3 linked regions of the Arabidopsis thaliana genome follow. The protein of the gene in region 1 interacts with the protein of each later gene in a pairwise test. Each region holds a gene or a part of one and is shown on either strand. Other genes may lie near its edges.

What was found. The genes of interacting proteins can lie anywhere in the genome.
Region 2: the proteins of UBC11 (region 1) and RFI2 interact in a two-hybrid assay, tested with the Arabidopsis thaliana proteins (one large-scale study listed by BioGRID).
Region 3: the proteins of UBC11 (region 1) and AT5G42940 interact in a two-hybrid assay, tested with the Arabidopsis thaliana proteins (one large-scale study listed by BioGRID).

The regions. Positions count from the first base shown.
Region 1 is NC_003074.8:2,638,840-2,643,949, reverse strand, and holds UBC11 (ubiquitin-conjugating enzyme 11), read right to left. Parts: upstream 2,939-5,110; 5' UTR 2,725-2,938; exon of another isoform or gene 2,585-2,724; intron 2,483-2,584; 5' UTR 2,464-2,482; coding exon 2,394-2,463; intron 2,026-2,393; coding exon 1,898-2,025; intron 1,816-1,897; coding exon 1,711-1,815; intron 1,605-1,710; coding exon 1,461-1,604; 3' UTR 1,031-1,460; downstream 1-1,030. Other genes in the region: UBC12 (ubiquitin-conjugating enzyme 12), read right to left, coding at 399-468; AT3G08680 (Leucine-rich repeat protein kinase family protein), read right to left, coding at 3,360-4,000, 4,078-5,110. UniProt on the Arabidopsis thaliana protein: Accepts the ubiquitin from the E1 complex and catalyzes its covalent attachment to other proteins. Mediates the selective degradation of short-lived and abnormal proteins.
Region 2 is NC_003071.7:19,551,319-19,556,596, forward strand, and holds RFI2 (RING/U-box superfamily protein), read right to left. Parts: upstream 3,330-5,278; 5' UTR 3,034-3,329; coding exon 2,841-3,033; intron 2,468-2,840; coding exon 2,295-2,467; intron 2,174-2,294; coding exon 2,115-2,173; intron 2,008-2,114; coding exon 1,982-2,007; intron 1,893-1,981; coding exon 1,604-1,892; coding exon of another isoform or gene 1,525-1,603; coding exon 1,188-1,524; 3' UTR 996-1,187; downstream 1-995. Other genes in the region: AT2G47690 (NADH-ubiquinone oxidoreductase-like protein), read left to right, coding at 1-199, 633-734; AT2G47710 (Adenine nucleotide alpha hydrolases-like superfamily protein), read right to left, coding at 3,727-3,814, 3,899-4,020, 4,258-4,352, 4,455-4,638. UniProt on the Arabidopsis thaliana protein: Mediates phytochrome (phyA and phyB)-controlled seedling deetiolation responses such as hypocotyl elongation in response to red and far-red light. Required for light-induced expression of LHCB3 and CHALCONE SYNTHASE (CHS).
Region 3 is NC_003076.8:17,215,334-17,222,233, forward strand, and holds AT5G42940 (RING/U-box superfamily protein), read right to left. Parts: upstream 5,340-6,900; 5' UTR 5,029-5,339; intron 3,926-5,028; 5' UTR 3,839-3,925; coding exon 2,216-3,838; intron 2,068-2,215; coding exon 2,008-2,067; intron 1,883-2,007; coding exon 1,784-1,882; intron 1,696-1,783; coding exon 1,555-1,695; intron 1,469-1,554; coding exon 1,316-1,468; 3' UTR 996-1,315; downstream 1-995. UniProt on the Arabidopsis thaliana protein: Probable E3 ubiquitin-protein ligase that may possess E3 ubiquitin ligase activity in vitro.

The DNA of each region.
Region 1 (5,110 bases):
ACGTTGCAATCAGACCCATTTATTCATCGAAAAAGACAATAAAACCTGCATGATCAAGTGATACTTCTTATAGAACAGAGACAAATTGGCAGAATAAATAAGAAGTACAAAAGGAGACACTTGAAATAAAAGCAAGCTAAACCTCTGGATATTCTTAATCGTACCAGGCAAAGGTTTAACGAGTTTTCTCGAATACAAAAAAAAAAAAAAAAAAGGTTCATGCAGAGTACATATATATAACAGAACCAAAGAGAGTCTAACAAATCATAGCGTTACCAAAAAAAACTCAGAAACATATAATGTGGATTGATGAAATAAAAGTGTGACATATATCAAACCCTAAAAGTGTTTTTAGTGTGAATCTATCAGTCAAAATCAGCCAAGAAAAGGGAGATTACCTGCGCTACAGTTTGCTGGAGGATGTCTCTGCATATCCCTCAGTTCCCTTGAAATCCTCTTAGAAGCCATGCTTTTAGACTCGAAAACCTGCGGACGAGATAAGCAACACACAATGAGTATTAAGGAATTCAACTAAGAACATAACATATCATAGAGGAAGACGAATAAAACAATACATACGTAACGTAAGTGATGATAAACCCTAAGAAGTAGTTGAAACAGAAAACATAAAGGAAAGATGGATCAAAAGAAACATACCACAACAGGAGATTGAATCTTTTTTTCAAGGCCACTACAAAAGAGAGAAGAGATTCGTGAAAAGCCTAAAACCCTCTACTTCTTTTTTATAGTCGGAGAATACAAGTCAGTCTCGAGGCTTCTGATTCTGTCGGCAAGTACCGCCTGACCTATTAGTAGGGACCCATGGCGGATGATATTGGAAAATTGCAACCAAAGATATGTTTATTTTCTAAAACACCTATTCTTGGTTTGGTCTAAAGATATTCTTGGTTTGGTCTATAGATATGATATTTCCTAAAACAGCTATTGTAAACAATATGGAAAATTTCTTAAGTGTTTTATTAGAACCATGTACACTTTTGAAATATATTAAAAAAATTAAGAAAATCAATAATTTAATCATAAATATACCAACTTTGGTATAAGTTAATAGAAGATTAGGAACGAGTTTTGTATTTGGGAGCAATGTATAATCCTAACTATGGAAGGCTCATAGTTGGTTTGGTTTTGGTTGTGGTTGATCCATGTGTAGATTGGAACCCCTTATGTCAAGAGTGTACCAAAACAGTCCAAACATTGCGTTTGGGGCGATTAGAATTGCAGTTTCCTGCAACCAAGTGAGGAGAGGGAAACAAGAGAATAAAAGTAGACCCAACAATCGAAATTAATACTAGTTTATAGTGATCAGAACAGAAGAGGAGTAAGAGCAGCTAAGTTGTTCGATACTTGCTAACGTTTGATAAACCAAACAAGTGCATTTTTTTTAAGTTATTATTTTATTCCGATGCGCAATAACATATCCTTTGCTTTGTCTTATATCATCAACCCATTGCGTACTTTTGTGTCCAGCTTCTCGCAGTTGACTCGTACTTGGATCTATCTGTCTTGTACATGTGAGCTATCTCCGGCACAAGAGGATCATCTGGGTTTGGGTCAGTCAACAGCGAGCAAATCGACAACAGAACCTAATTTCCACAGCATCAATATCGCTCGCGTTAACACACAAAATTGGCTAAGATAGTAACATAATTTGTGTTAAAATGGTAGGAGTAGAGATACACAAACTCGAACCTTAGAGATAGTAAGAGCAGGGCTCCATTGCTCTTTCAAAATATCAAGGCAAATACTTCCATTGCTATTGATGTTTGGATGGTACACCTTAGTCTTAAAAGACACCTGCAAGATCGATGGATTCACATCATAAGATCAATGATAAAAACCGATGAATCATAAAGAGTCTCATAACACAACACATTACCTTTGGTGGCTTGAAAGGATAATCCGGAGGGAAATGAATAGAAACCAAAAACACTCCTCCGGCATACGGACTTTCAGGAGGTCCCATGATAGTGGCTTGCCAATGGAACATGTCCTCAGCCACCGGACCTAAAACAACGTGACAACAAAATTACATCAATAAAGACATATTAGCAGGAGCTACAAAAGGAGACACTTTGACATAAACTCAAAACCATGCAGAGTTCTGGATACTTGTCAAATACAGGACAGGAAAGGGTAAATATGAAGTGCATAACAGACAACAAAATCCATGAGATCAGCGTTAATCAAAGAGTCTAGCAAACCAAAGCTTTTACCAAAAAAAAAATCAGAAGCATAACATGGATTGAGGAAATAAAGTATGATACTTGATACCCTAACCTACATCAATCTAGTGAGAGAGTAAGGAACCTAATTCAGAGTCATTAGTGCCAGGTAAGTAATTGGTTAAAATCAGATTAGAAAAGGGAGATTACCAGCGCTGCAGTTTGAAGGAGGATCCTTCTGCAGATCCTTGAGCTCCTTCAAGATCCTCTTAGAAGCCATGCGTCAGAGACGAGAAAACCTGTGGAAACCCCCAACAAGACCAGAATATTATTGAACAGAGGATATAACTTAAGACAATCAACTTAAGAACAAAACAGATCACAGTGGAAGAACCAGAGACCGAACAAAACAACACAAAACGTAAGTGATCGGAAACCCTATTATTAAGCGGTGGAAACTAATCGCGCAAAACAAAAACAGAGGACGATTCGGGAGAGAAAGAAATTAGGGTTTAACCAAAGAGAAATGGTGGAATTAGACCTGGAAGAAGGACGGACAACACAAAGCGAGAGCTTCTTTATCGGGAGAGAAGAGAATCGAGAATAAAAATGGAGTGCAAAGGAGAAAACGAAACTTGTTACTTTGCCTTTCTTTATAGTCAGAGAATCTAAAACAAGTCAGTCTCGAAGCTTCTGATTCTATCAGCAAGTACCGCCTCACCTATTTCACCTTTTCTATATATTTATTAATTCTCGTGCCAAAAGTTTTTTTATTTCACCAATTAGGACTCATGCAGTCAAAAAATACAGAGCAATGATTTTATTTTTATTTATTTACTCATGTAGTTTATCTTTTTGAGACGATAAATTTCACATATAATTGTATCACTATTTCAGTTAGATTTTCAAACACCCAAAGACTCTTGTGATTTAATTTAAACGAATCATACAACAACAAATGAAAATTCAAAACTAGTCGCACACTTATAACCAATCTAAGAACTACAACCATTCATGGTGAGGGTTTCAATTACACTACAATTCCAGATATTGATTGGAATAAATTATGCAGTCAGACATAGAGAACTAAAATAAACGGTTTATGAAGAAGAAGAAGAAGGAAAAGCAAAAATAAATAATGATTTGAGAATGAGAGAAAGAGAATTTAAAACCAATCTAAACCGGGCTATCAGAGCTTCTGATCATCTCCGGCGAGGAGGCTCTGTTACCAGAACCAGGACCGGACCCTGAAGGTCGAATCTCCTCCATCATGTTAACCACTTCCTCCATTGAAGGCCTAGAATCTGGATGCTTAGACACACATGCCATTGCTATCTGCAACATCTGCACCATTTCTTCCTCTACGTTGTGTTGCTGCTTGATCAGCTCTACGTCAAACACTTCTCCAGTCCACTCCTCTCTCACCACTGATTGCACCCACTTTGGCAGATCCACCACTTCTTCATGCCCAGTAGTCTTCCCTGCTGCTTTCCCAGTCAGCATTTCTAGCAACAGTACACCAAAGCTGTATACGTCGGACTTCTGGGTATGTTTCCGTGTTTCTATGGCCTCGGGTGCTCTGTAACCTAAGCTTCTTGATGGGATCAAGGTGTGATGGCTCATCAATGGAGCTATACCGAAATCAGAGACACAGACATGAAGTTCTTGGGTTAAGAGGACATTTGGTGATTTGATGTTTCCATGGAGGAGTTTAGCACCAGATGCAGAATGGATGTGAGAAATTCCCCTCGCAGCTTCCAAACAGATCCTTAACCTTGTTTCCCAGTCCAACGCTGCTCTTCCTCCCTCATTGTTTCCTGCATAGAATTCATCTAAAGTGTTACTTTAAAGCCACTTTTTATAACCTTGAGTAACATGTAAAACATCATATTACCATGAAGCAGCATGGAGAAATTGCCCCCTTGGTAGTAATCATACACGAGTAGCTTCTCGTCTTTTGAAAAGTAATAGGCACGGAGAGGAGCTACATTCACGTGTGGACTGATCCTTCCCACGGCTTCCATCTGCTGCTCGAACTCCCGTTTCCCAGCTGCTACTTCTTTCAGTCTCTTCACCACCACCGTGGTTCCTTCCTCTAAGATGGCCTTATACGTTGTGCCATAGCTTCCTTTCCCTAAAACTTCAGCCGAGGCTCTGAGCAAGTCCTCAAGATCAAAGTTATATGAACTTCCTTCAAAGAAGACCAGCTTGTTCTTCTCCGCCTCTTGCACCCCACTCCCAAACTCCTCAGCCTTGTTGTCACTCCTCCCGGGTTTAGCTTTTGGCACTGCGGTGCTATCTTGCCCGCCATCTCTTTTCTTGGCACAGCAAAGGGTTATGATGGCAAGAATGATAAACAACAGAACCGAACCTCCAACTGCAATGCCCACAATAGCACCAGTGGAGAGAACTTTTTTGGCGGTACCACGACCTATATTGGTTGTACCAGGACCTTCTGTTGGTGTTGTCGGTGAAGGAGATGGTGCAGTGGTGTTTTCTGGGCATGGAGTCAGAGGAGCACCGCATAGAAGGCTATTACCTTGAAATGAGGATGCTGGGAAGGACTTGACAGAAGATGGAACTGACCCGTTAAGGTTATTGAAGCTCAAATTCAAGTATTTAAGGCGAGGAGGGAGGTTAGGAATTGGACCACTAAGAGAATTGTTTTGCAGGCTGAGATCAGTGAGCTGGGTAAGGTTTTGTAGACTCGTGGGAATGTTTCCCGAGAGCGAGTTGGCGGAGAGATCAAGATTAACGAGGCGATGAGAAAGGACGGGAGGGATAGTACCAGAAAAGTTGTTTTCATGAAAGTATAGTGATCGGATAAAAGGAAGTGAAAGAATGACAGATGGAATGTTCCCTTGAAGGTGGTTGGATCTAAGGCTAATGATCCTGAGGGCATCAAGCTTCTCAAATGTTTTCTCTGG
Region 2 (5,278 bases), on another chromosome or scaffold:
CGAACCTGTCTGGTTTTGTTGCGTTCTTCCGATTTGGGTTGGAGAGGAAATGGCGTCGGGATGGGGAATAACGGGAAACAAAGGGAGATGCTACGATTTCTGGATGGATTTCAGTGAATGTATGTCTCACTGCAGAGAGCCCAAAGATTGTACCCTTCTTCGTGAAGATTACCTCGAGTGTCTCCACCATTCCAAAGAGGTAGGTACCCACTTCTTTTTTCCGGTGATATTGTTTGAAGAATTTCATTGATTTGATGGTTCTGATGTTCGCCACTGTTTCCGGCTAGATCAGTGTGATTGTGATGTCTAGATCACTTAGTTGTCGAAATTCCAAAAATCCTAGATCAGGTCGAGCAATTGGGAAATGAGTCCCATGCCTTTGTTGATTGGCCATTTTCGGAATCCTCAGCTGCAGAATCAAGATGCCATTGAAAGATCATGTTCTCTTGTTTAAGATAGGATGTATCGATTAGGCGTTTCTGGAACTAAATCATCTCTGTACATGTTACAACTGTTTCTTCTGCAATTACACGGCTCTCTTAGAACATTACGATTGACACCAGTGGTTTCTTTACTTTGAATGAAGATGCTGTAAGTTTAAGTTTTTATGTGTTGTGTACCTGTTGTTGCAGTTTCAAAGAAGGAACAGGATATACAAGGAGGAGCAGCGTAAACTAAGAGCAGCTTCGAGGAAAGGTGAAGAAGCCGGAGATGGGACTCACAACCATCACTAGTCTCAACAATCCTCCTTCAAGCTTCATCCGATTCCAGAGAAGAATAATAAAAGGTTCATGGAAGATTTTGTATCTTGGAATCTCTAAACGCTTTGATTGTTTTTCAGTTTTCAATTTTATCCAATCATGTTCTGCTTTCTTTTTATGTTAAATCGTCTCTTTGAGACGTATACTTTTCCACCTGAATTATGGACATGTGGATTGTGGATCATTTACTTCTTCACTATTACTCCATCCAACCAGGAACAATGGCAACATTTTGTCGATAACTTGTGTTTAATTAATTATAACAATTGTTCTTGGAAAGCTCACAATGTACATTGGAAACCAGTTATAGTTACATCATAAACAAGTTTTGATCGATCAAACAAGTCCCCAGTTTTCTTTTATACATTGATCATTAAGCCTGATAGAATTCTCCCAGGCGACTGTAGAGTTCTGACACAACTTCTCTCAGAAGTGTCTATGCCACAAGCTAGGGATCGTGCGATGATTCGATGGGACAGGGAAATGTGGGAACCAATCTCTCTCCCATGCATGAATTTGATCGGTTTCTGGTTCATGGTGTCCACCTGGATAAATGAAGAATCCAACGTTCTGATCTGGCATTGGTGGGGGAGGTGGCGGCGGCGGTAATCCCCTTCTTGTCATGGAGATGAGAGGTGATGCGAGAGTGGGACCATTGGCATGATGTTGTTGCCTCTGATGATTATAAGCATGATGCTGTTCACGCATTTGGGTGCTGCTTCCTTGGTAACTGTTAATTGCTGGTGAGGACCTTTGATTAGACCTACAATGCCCAATTCCAAAAGAATATTGTAAAACACTCTGCAAGAAGTTGAGAGCAATAGGGAGTTTGAGAAGCTAACCGGTGACTAAAAAGAAATGGATGCGCATAAGGTAGGCCTCGTGCTGCTGAAGAGTCAACTTCACCATCAACCACATGAGCAGCGGGTAGTGAAAACGATGGGGAATGGTGATGATACTGGGGGGCAACAGGAAGCTGGTGAAAGTGATCGTTAGAGTGGCTGTTCCAGGGATGATCATCTGTGCTGTTATTGTCGCTAGTTCTCGGGGTAGCGGCTGGGCCAGGTCCAACATATGCAAGATACGAATGATTCACAGCAGCGGCGTGATGTCCATGGAACTCAGTATGATCTAAGGAAGAAATATGGGTTTTGACATTATAAACGGATTGCTAGACAAAATGAAATGATTATATACAGAACAATCAGCGTCTAACTTACATGTAGTGGTTGCAGGTTCCAGTTCCCTGAAACACAGAGCAAAAGTCAATTCTAGCTTTCGCGTTTGAAGGATCAAAAGCCTTAGAAAAGAGAGATAATAGCAAAAACCATGGTAAAGGTGTTGTAGGCTTACTCGAAAGAAGCTGCTGCTTGAGAGAGTTCACCAAACGGGCACCAATGGACCCGATATTGCTGCAAACCCCGTAAAAATGTCAGGATAAGCGATCTCTCATAAGGAGGTTATATGATAAAAGCACAGTTCTCATGTACACGAAAAGAAAGCATATCGTTGCACAAAGTAGTGAGCTTTTACCATTTCCGGATAGCTTAAACCGTACAAGTCTTCTTCAGGGATCCAATCTTCCATGGAAAACTCTGGAAAGGGGCGAGTAGAACCGTTTGCATACAACCACTGACCCTTTTCGACATTGCGACAGTTAGGGCATTGCATGGCTCCTTTCATGTTAAATGCTGATCCAATGCAATCTGCAAGAAACCAAAAAACAAGCTGCTAAAGGGAAAGCCGAAAATAGCAACAAATTCAGCAGCCAGATAATAGAACTAGCAAGCCTCATTCTATATCTACACAAGAGAAGAAACCGATTCACAAGTTACGACACACATTTGTCAGAACTCGATCATTTCTAGGATCAACCAACTGCAGAGTCGTGGCAATCTAAGCTTGTAAACAAAGCAAGGGATTAGGAATCCATCTATATTCTCAAATTCATTCAATTATCGTCCAAATCTACCATCAGATAATTGCACAAAAGCTTGTACAAGCAAAAAGCCATCGGATCATCAAACTGTGATGGAGGGAACGCAAAATGGTAAGAGATGGAGGAAGGGAATGAAATACCCAAATGGAACTGGTGACCACATTGGAGCTTAGCCTTGGATCTGGTACCATCATCGAGCACCGATTCGAGGCAAATCGAGCACGAGACTTCGACAGGAGACGAGGAATCCTCCGGGTTCCCGCGTTTTCCAGGGTCACATCCACCAGCAATTCGGAGATCATCATCGCAACCCGAATCTTTAGCTCCGGCCATATCTTCACCAGCAGGCCAAATCGGAGGGAACCAACGAAAATTTTCGTTTTTCGAAAGAACAAAAAAAAAGAAAAGAAAGGATTGTCAAACAAAAATCAATGAGAAACCATGTCTCGCTATCGCTATCTGTCTCTCCGAGTTCGTCTGCCTTTTGGAACGCCGATGCGGTAAATCTATCCTTCCTCTTCCTCTCTCTCTCTCTCTCTCTCTCGTCCGACCTGTTAGAGATGACGTGGTTCAAAACCGGACAATGACATTGGACTCTCCCTTTTCTTTTCTTTCCTCTCCCATTGTGGATAATTTTTTATTATTATTTTATTACTTTAGTTTTGGATAGATGATCATCAAACCATCCATCCATCTGAACCAACAACCAAACTATAAATTTGTTCATTTAAATCATTAATCTCTATTTAGTTGATTTGTTTTCTTCTCTAGTCTCTTTCATATGAAGTTTATTATAACTTTCACATCCATTTTGTTATGAGAAAGATTAGCATATTATAACACACGAATATTGATTGTCTAAGGATACCAAAACATTGTATGTAGTAAACAATTACACATATAGATGCAAATGTATATTGTCTTGAATCGTTGTTTCACATCAAGCTAATATTATTTCACTTTATTCTTCTGAATTAGAAGACTATGCAGAGACTTTGCTTTGACCGAGTAGCCTTCCCTTAGGTTTCAGACCTTGATCTTAGGCTTCTTCACGATCATCACCGAGCAATGAGCATGATGAGCGCAGTAGTCACTCGTACTCCCGAGAACCGCCCTGCCACACAAACCGACAAGTGAATCAGAATGGGTGTATAGTTGAAAGATTGATCATAAGAATTAAGGCTGAATGAAATAATACCTCTTGATAGCTCCATATCCATGGCTTCCCACAACAAGAATAGAAGCATGATGCTTATCTACAACTTCACATAGGATATTCCTTGCATCACCTTCGAAAACTTCGATCACCGCGCCATGAACCTACACAACAAACCTAGGAATGATGATTGAAAAGAAGAAGATAGTTGCTAACCAAAGATAGATAGTTACTATAAGAAAAACCAGTGCTACTTAGCTTGAAGCTCTTAAATGTGCTAGAGATTCACATTCACATTACCAAACTCATCTAATAGAGTCCAATACAACACATGATGACGATTATAAAATCCAAGAAACACATAAAACGAATTTGAATGTTTGATAATAGCAAGATCGTACCGATCTGCTCTGACAAATTGCTTTGGCTTTCTCGACAACCTTAGCAGCGGTATGCTTCAGATCAGCATCAACATAAGGTACAACCTCCGCAGTTCCTAAAACACACAGATTAACAAAACCTAAATGATCTCTCCCCATCGCTGCCCAAAACAGAACCCCTAGAAGAGTAGATTCGAGAGTGAAAGCAAAGAGCGTACCGGGACCAGCGAGACCAACGGCGGAGACGGCGTTAGGTTTGGCGTGGACGATGAAGAGCTTAAAAGGATAATTGGGAGCGTAAGGAGCGAAGAAACGATCGAGCGTCCACTCCAAGGCGTAAGTGCTCTGCTCGCTGTCGTCAACTCCGACGACCATCACCGATTTCCCATCTCCGGTGGCCATGACTCTGACGTTGTTCGCCGGCGTGAAGAAAACGCGCTCTTGTGTTTGTGGTAGAAAGAAGCCTAGAAGAATCCTCCAAAGTGTTTGCACAGAAAAAGAGAGTTTTGGTATCTTCTTCTTCTATTATTTAATTTCTTTAAATAAAAAGAAAAGAGGAATGTGATACTTTGATTTGATGACGTGGCTGGTCCTCATTTCTTTATGCCTTTCCATTAGTAAATTTCCCAATATTTAAAGTTACCCACAGATTTTAAATAAGAAGAACCCACAGATTTTACACAAAATTTATTCTAATTTGAATATTACCCATAAAACAAAGTACATAAAAGGATTTTGCAGGTTAACAGTTATTAGCTTTTTAGTAACAAACTGATATGAATTGGTTTGATAACTTTCGATTTTACTTGGAAATTAACTATTACAAGAAAAATCTAATTTCAAATAGTGGAATGATTTGAGTTGGGTAAAATCCGGCTCAGATGATAACAATTACAAAATAAAAATGAGACGGCCGGCTGTAGAATAATATGACGACGTGAAGCAAAAGCAGGAGTGCGACAGAAACCTCTCTAACCAAATTGCTTTTAGTTATATTCTTCTTCGTCTTGACGCTACTCTTTACCTTTTTTTATCTGATTTC
Region 3 (6,900 bases), on another chromosome or scaffold:
TATAAAATCTAAACGATAAGTAACTTAGCATAATGGAATCATCAATAAATACATGCATCCACATGCAATTTCGTTTCAAATTTGGTAACACCGCATAATCGCCTAATGACATAAGTCGCAGAATGAAAACTCGCAAATGAAATAAGCAACTGTCACAGCTCTAGAGAAGATTGAGATTCGTATATCCTCCAGGACCGTTTACTTAAGTCAACATGTGCCGTCGATAAGAATGGGACGTCATCAACATTTCTCTTAATGATTTGAAGACTAGCCTCAGTTTCTTTAGTTTTCTGCATTTGACTTTGGACATGATTGAGATCCGTAAATCCTCTAGGATTTGTTGGTTGTTGCATTGGCAAATTCCAATATGTTGGTCATTGCTTTGGTAATTTCGGCTCTTCTTAGCCTTGTTGTATATTGGAGGGCTACTATTTCTAGGAAGACTTTCAAATAGAGTTTGATTTTTGATTTGTTCTCCTTAGTATATATGCAAAACATTTCTAATTTAGAGTAACAAAATTGAGAAAAATATTGTAGTCCGGAATGGTTGTGATGGTTAGGACAGACAAATCCATTTGTTTGAAGAGATTTTCGTTTACCATTCATAAACTATAATCCGTTACTGTTTTAGTCCGCTTTGCCCATATCTACCATTCAAAGCGTACGTGTAATCCTTTGCATTCCTCTACAGTTCTACTATTTACCATAAAATCTCTTTTCTTAAAGTCCCATCATACGAGCATAACAAGTTAAACAACACACAACTTATTTCTCTCAATCTATTCATTTTATTCTTCCAACTAAATTTTTACTCAACTTGTTCACCTTATTACTCTGCCTCTTAAGGGACAACCATTTGCACATATCCAACTTGATTTTGTTTCTCCAAAATTGCAACATTTTTGCATCCTAAAACTTTTGTAACCAATTAGAGCAAACTAGGTAACTCAAAACAACATATGGGCTTTCAAAGTAAGTATTCTCTCAAAATCGGCTGATTCAACTTCCTGCTTCTTTCAAAGGATTCATAAACTTAATTGACAATGGGTAAAATTAAATTATCCAAACAAATCCATAAAAGAAAAAAACAACATTTCCCTACCACCCTTTATCTTTTCCCTTCAATCCAAATCTTTCCATCTTTCATACTCAGATTATAAATACGAACAAATTCTATCTTTTTTTTAAAAAAAATTGGGGACAAACTTGCCTGGCTCTGCAATGGTGTGGGGGCTTGAGGGTACCTTCTGTTTCTTTCATTTTTGATTATAAAATTGAATAGTTAAGAAAAAAAAAAAGCTCTTTCGAGAAATCATCATGCTATCCTCCGCTTCTTCGCGGTGTTCAAGCCTGTAGTCTTGCAGATTGGGCAAAGATTCTTCTGTTTCAGCCATTCTTTAATGCATTGGCTATGGAATTCATGCCCACATTCTAGTGTCCCCATGTCTTCTCCTTCGGTGTATTCCTCCTGCACCAAGTTTTCACCATTCATACTCGGACGAAAAACAATCTTATACCTTTTAAATGCTATTTCAGTAACTAGTATATTTTTACCTGACAAACACAGCATGGCTCTGCATCTTGTGGAGATTTTGTGTTGCTTTTGTATTTTCGTTGCTTTAACCGGTTTGATATGGTTTCCTCGTTTACACCGGTACAAACATCTCCAATCCGCTCTTCTAGTGCCAACAATTCCTACAGTTTATGAACCAAAAGGAGTTAGATTTAGTGATTTAACGTGACTCAGACAAAGATTTATGGTTCACTATGGTTTTTAATTTACCTCATATGACATGTTGTCCACATCAAGTCGCATGTCTCTATACCGGTCATGACCAGTAGCCCCATCAAATAGTACTGAGTGATTTAGAAGCATAACGTCCTGGAAAACAAGCATCCAGATTATTTATGTTCCAGTTATTAGGCTAGTTCATCTAGAAATCAACAGAGACAGACACAAGACAAGTTCGAATTTAGATAACTTCGCTACAATCAGGAAAAACTAACCTCAAGCCGCAAGTTGTTATTATTAGCATCCCTACGCATGACATCCAAGACATTCTGCATCTGTCGGAAAGAGAAACGTATTGTTAGTTCTATTTGAGTGACTGCTGAAGAACAAACAAATGGTATTTATGCGCAACTGAATGAGCCAAAGTTAACAAATTCCATCCACGTTAAAGGCTACATGCCAATAGAATTTGTATCGACTGACCTGGGACACCATAAGTCTGCTTCTTCCTCTGCTTGCAGCTGCCAAGGCCCGCAAAGGATGAGGAATACCAACCACACTATCCCCTTGCCTATCAAACAACGGACCTGCTCTCGAGTAAGCCCGATTATGCATCTGACTATTATCACCACCAGGCTGAAGCACAAGCCCATCCGAAGAGGCAGGAGGGGCCAACGAACGAAGTGTTGGATGATCACCAGATCTCTGGTTTGTAGCATCTGCTGCAAGGGAAGAAAGCAAGGACCTACGTGCAAGTTCAGACCTTTCAGTCCTTCTTCTTTGATAATGTGGTGAATTCTGGTAAGAAGTCCACGCTAGATTAGAAGATGGTGGTGGTGGTGGTGGAACACTTGTTGTTGAGCCTGTCCTGGACACTGATGATGCACTATTCAGGTTTCCATTTGTTACATTTCTGCTACTCTGACTACGGGCAAAATTTCCTACCTCAGGAGCTGCAAACATGGGAATCTCAAGAGTATTCCCGGGTATGCTTCTTGACCTGGTTTCATCTAGATGAAGATTTCTCTCAACGGGCGCAGTAGAGTTCGATGTTCCACCCACTAGTGAGCTCCCAGTCCACCGAAATGGTGGTAGCATAGTCCTTGAACCAGGTGGTATGCTCACAGGAGTAGAATTTGGGTTACGAGAAACGACAAAAGACTGTCCAGGTCTCAAGTCCAATGAATGCTGATCTGCTGGTAAGTGTCTTGACAAGTTCAACTGGGATGGAGGGACAGGCCGCCTGACAACAGTTCCCGCAGCAAAGGTAGATGGGTTTACAGTTTCTTGATGATCTGAGGGATTACTCCTGACGCATATATTTCTACTGGAGCTCTCTGCAATGGCAGAAACAGGAAAATTTGGTGCAGAAACAGGAAAATTTGGTACAGTACCGGAGACCATTCCTCTTGGTCCATTGTCAAGGGAGCCAGATATGTTTAAACCATTTCCTGGCCTAAAAACCGTAGAACCTGGGGTCCACGAACTGCTTTCTCCACGCTGGAAATCATGATAACCTCCTGAAGAAGATTGACTAATACTGCCTTCAAGAGCTTTTCTTTTGCAGGATGCACGACGTCCCTCTACAGAAGAACCTGTTCCAACACCGTTCTCTTCAAAAGATCTGCCAGGTTGTGAGACCCTGGTCCCTGGTCCATTAGCTTCTATGAAGCCAGACCGACCTCTATATGGATTAATATCCTCGTGAATTTCTATATACTCTGCATTCAGATTGACATTCTGAACAGGTTGATTTGTGCCTGATGGCTGCGCAAACACTGGGTCTAAATCAATTATTTCATTTCCTCGTCCGTCAAAGCATCTTGTTTCCATTCGTTGCTCATTGTGACTGGAAGCTTCATCCTTCGTGCCACTAGAGCTAGCCTCACCAAGGCTAAATCTGCGTAAACCCTGTTGCTCGTGATAAACTGAGTTTGCAAGCGAAGTATTTGATTCAGAATTTGCAATCATGTAATCCTGCAAGTCATTATCACCAAGACTGTGAATATTCTCCCAATGATCTATCACACCATTACTTGAAGAAGAACCATGCTCAAAGTTCAAGGCCTCTGATAAATAGCCAAGACTGGCCCTCTCCCCCTGCATCTTGGCTAAGCTTTTAACCACAGTTACACTCAGGAGAAGAGAACTCACGAGACTACCCTGCCCTCAACAATGTGCCTAATGGGGAGACTGCAAAACAACAAAGACAGTAGATCTTTCAGTAACAAAGACAAGGAAAAGGCTTCTACACGATGTCAACTGTAATAAGAAACATATAAACACACTCAATCAAAACATAGCTCCTACAATTGTAATAATAAATGGCACCCTGAGATTGCATATACAGTCATATAATCTGCTTCACCTAGAAGAGCACAAGGTGCAAAAGTCACTCAAAGCAAGACCGCTGCAACTACTACTAAATGCAACTTACTTCTAGATGCGACGCCTAACTAAAACACAAATGATTCAGTAGGAAACTAATGACACATGAGTTATTAACAAGCTTAAAAAATAAGAGGACAGATGCGATAGAAAATTCATATGATCAACCATTCTAAACACAAAAGAACTTCAAGTCTAAATTATCAAATTGACACCTAACTGCCAACTTCGAAACAAAGCGTCAATGAAAATGAGGTACAAACAAAATCCAGGACCACGTAACAAGCATGCCAATTTTGAAACAAGGAAAAGAGTGAAAAACATTTTACTCAACTACCACCACAATGGCAATTCAGAAAAACAAGAGAAATATCAAAATAAGCACTGCCTCATCAATGACATATCAACTACCCATAGATGCAACAGCGTATGAAGTTTCACAAATCCTCAATACCAAGCAAAGATGTATTGAAACAGCAAGGTAAAAGCAAAGACAAAAGAAACCCACAGCTTGAAGATAAAGCATCATCACAATAAAAAACAATTCAAAAACCTCAAAGAATCAAACTTTCTCATAAAACAAGCTCATAGAAGTAAAGATCCGATTCAAACATCTAAAACCCAATAACAAAAAATAATTTTTTTACCTTCTGATGAATAATAAATTCACCACAACAACAATTCTACAGAATTTGACACAAAATTTCAAAAAAAAAACTATTTTTCAAAAAACCCACCAACCGATTCTTATCTATTTCGATCGAGCTTTGAAAACCCAATAGAACCCAGAAAAGACACAAAAATCAAAATCAAAACCAAAACCAAACAGATACAGAACATAAATCGATCTAAGAACAATAAAAATCAAAACTTTATGAAGATTCTTAATGAAAACGAAAGAGACTCACCGATTGTTGAAGAGAGAAACCTACCGCTTTGTGGTGGAGGAGAAGGAAGAAGGAGAAGAAGAGAGAATGAGGAAAAAGGAAGGAAGCAAAGCACAACAACACAAATGGGAACAGAAAAGAGGATTATTAGGACGAGACGGCAATGTGTAATTTACCATATAACCCAAAATAAAAACTAATATTTTAAGGAAATTGAATCAAAAAGTTAAAAAGGGTCAGTCATAAGAACAGTTTCCAAAGACTGAATTGAATTGCTAAATGCCTAAATCAACGAATAAACAAAAACTAATAATTCAATGTGTAAAGATTTTTAATTAATTACAGTTACACGTAATGTGTAATGTTGAAGAAGAAAGCAAGTTGGCTTAAGAAGAAAGAGTTAATAGGATTTTTCTTTTGGGTCATTCATTAGTCATTACTTAAGCAAATTGTCCCAACCAAAAGTTTCTCAGCCTTTGCCTCTTCCATACACACGTCCCTCGTTTGTTTTACTTTTATTTGTTCATACTGAACTAAACCGGAACTTAACCGAGCAGAACAAATCCGGTTTCTTTTCGAACTTTTTGTTTCCTAGTTGTCATGTAACTTTGGTCTACTTTCTCCTTCTGTTTATCTTTTTTATTTTTATTGTTTATTTTCTTCCATTAGCTTAGATTCCCCATTTAAATATATGTACAAAAAAAAAGAGTATACGTGTGGATCAGAATCACTAGTTACCTAAATTTGGTACTGGCAAGATTTATCAATTTATGAATGGTCTTTCTTTATCCTATATACAAAAGAAAGAAAAAATCTAAAAATATTTTTTATTTGAGTGCATCATGTTAAAAAATATTTTTATTAATAATATTTACTTCTAGTTAATTGGTCAATATTGGTTTTATTGTTTGCAATCAATGCGTGAACTGTAATAAAAAAGAGAGTATATGTGTGCAGATTTATTAACTTATGAATGGTTTTATCCTATCCTATATATATAAAAGAAAGGAAAAAAACGAAAAAGGTTTTTTTAGGGTTAACAAAAAGTCTATGTGTAATATTTACTTCTAAATTTTGGTCAATATTTTATTATTAGCAATCAATTTCTTTATTATTTTCTGAACTGTAAATAATAAGGTTCATCCCCTTAAATAAATTTTATCTTCTTGAAACGTTTTTTTAAGAAGAAATTTCATTCTATTCATACATAATATTTTTATATTTTAAGAAAAATCATTTTAAATTTAATGTTTTGTTTAAATTTTATAAAATCCAAATATGGTTGCACATTTTAACTTTGATATATGGAAATTAAAGTAATTTCATATACCCCTGAAAGCATAATTTAATTTTAATTTTTGAAAAGTATTTGAATATTAAAATTTGTTTTGGGATGTGAAATGTTTTTGAAGGCATATGTTGATTTCATTGTGAAAATCAAAGTGTCTTTGTTTAATTAGTGAAACCACACACATGATTATAACCATCTTACTTTGAGAGATTCGAAGAAGAGAGAATTTCTATATAATGTTGTAATTGATCATGATTTAAATGAGTTTTTATATACATTTTAAAATGATTTGGTTTAGAGGGTTACTTCTCTAATTTTTAGAGAGAGAATTGAATTACTCAATATGGTAGAGAAAATTTTGGTCAAGAGTGAAATTTTTATATCTAAGTTCGACCATCTTTGGAAAAAAAACACATTTGTCTGAAAAGTGTGTTAGTTGGGTTTTGGCTAAATTCTAACTGGTTTACATGGTAGTTAGAAATGCAGGCGGTCTGATTATCCATGAAATTCGGAAAACACTCCAAACTTGGGACAAACTTTATGGTGGTCTTTCGGAGAGAAGTCTACTATAAAACAGGTGCAATTCTACCGACCAGATCAGC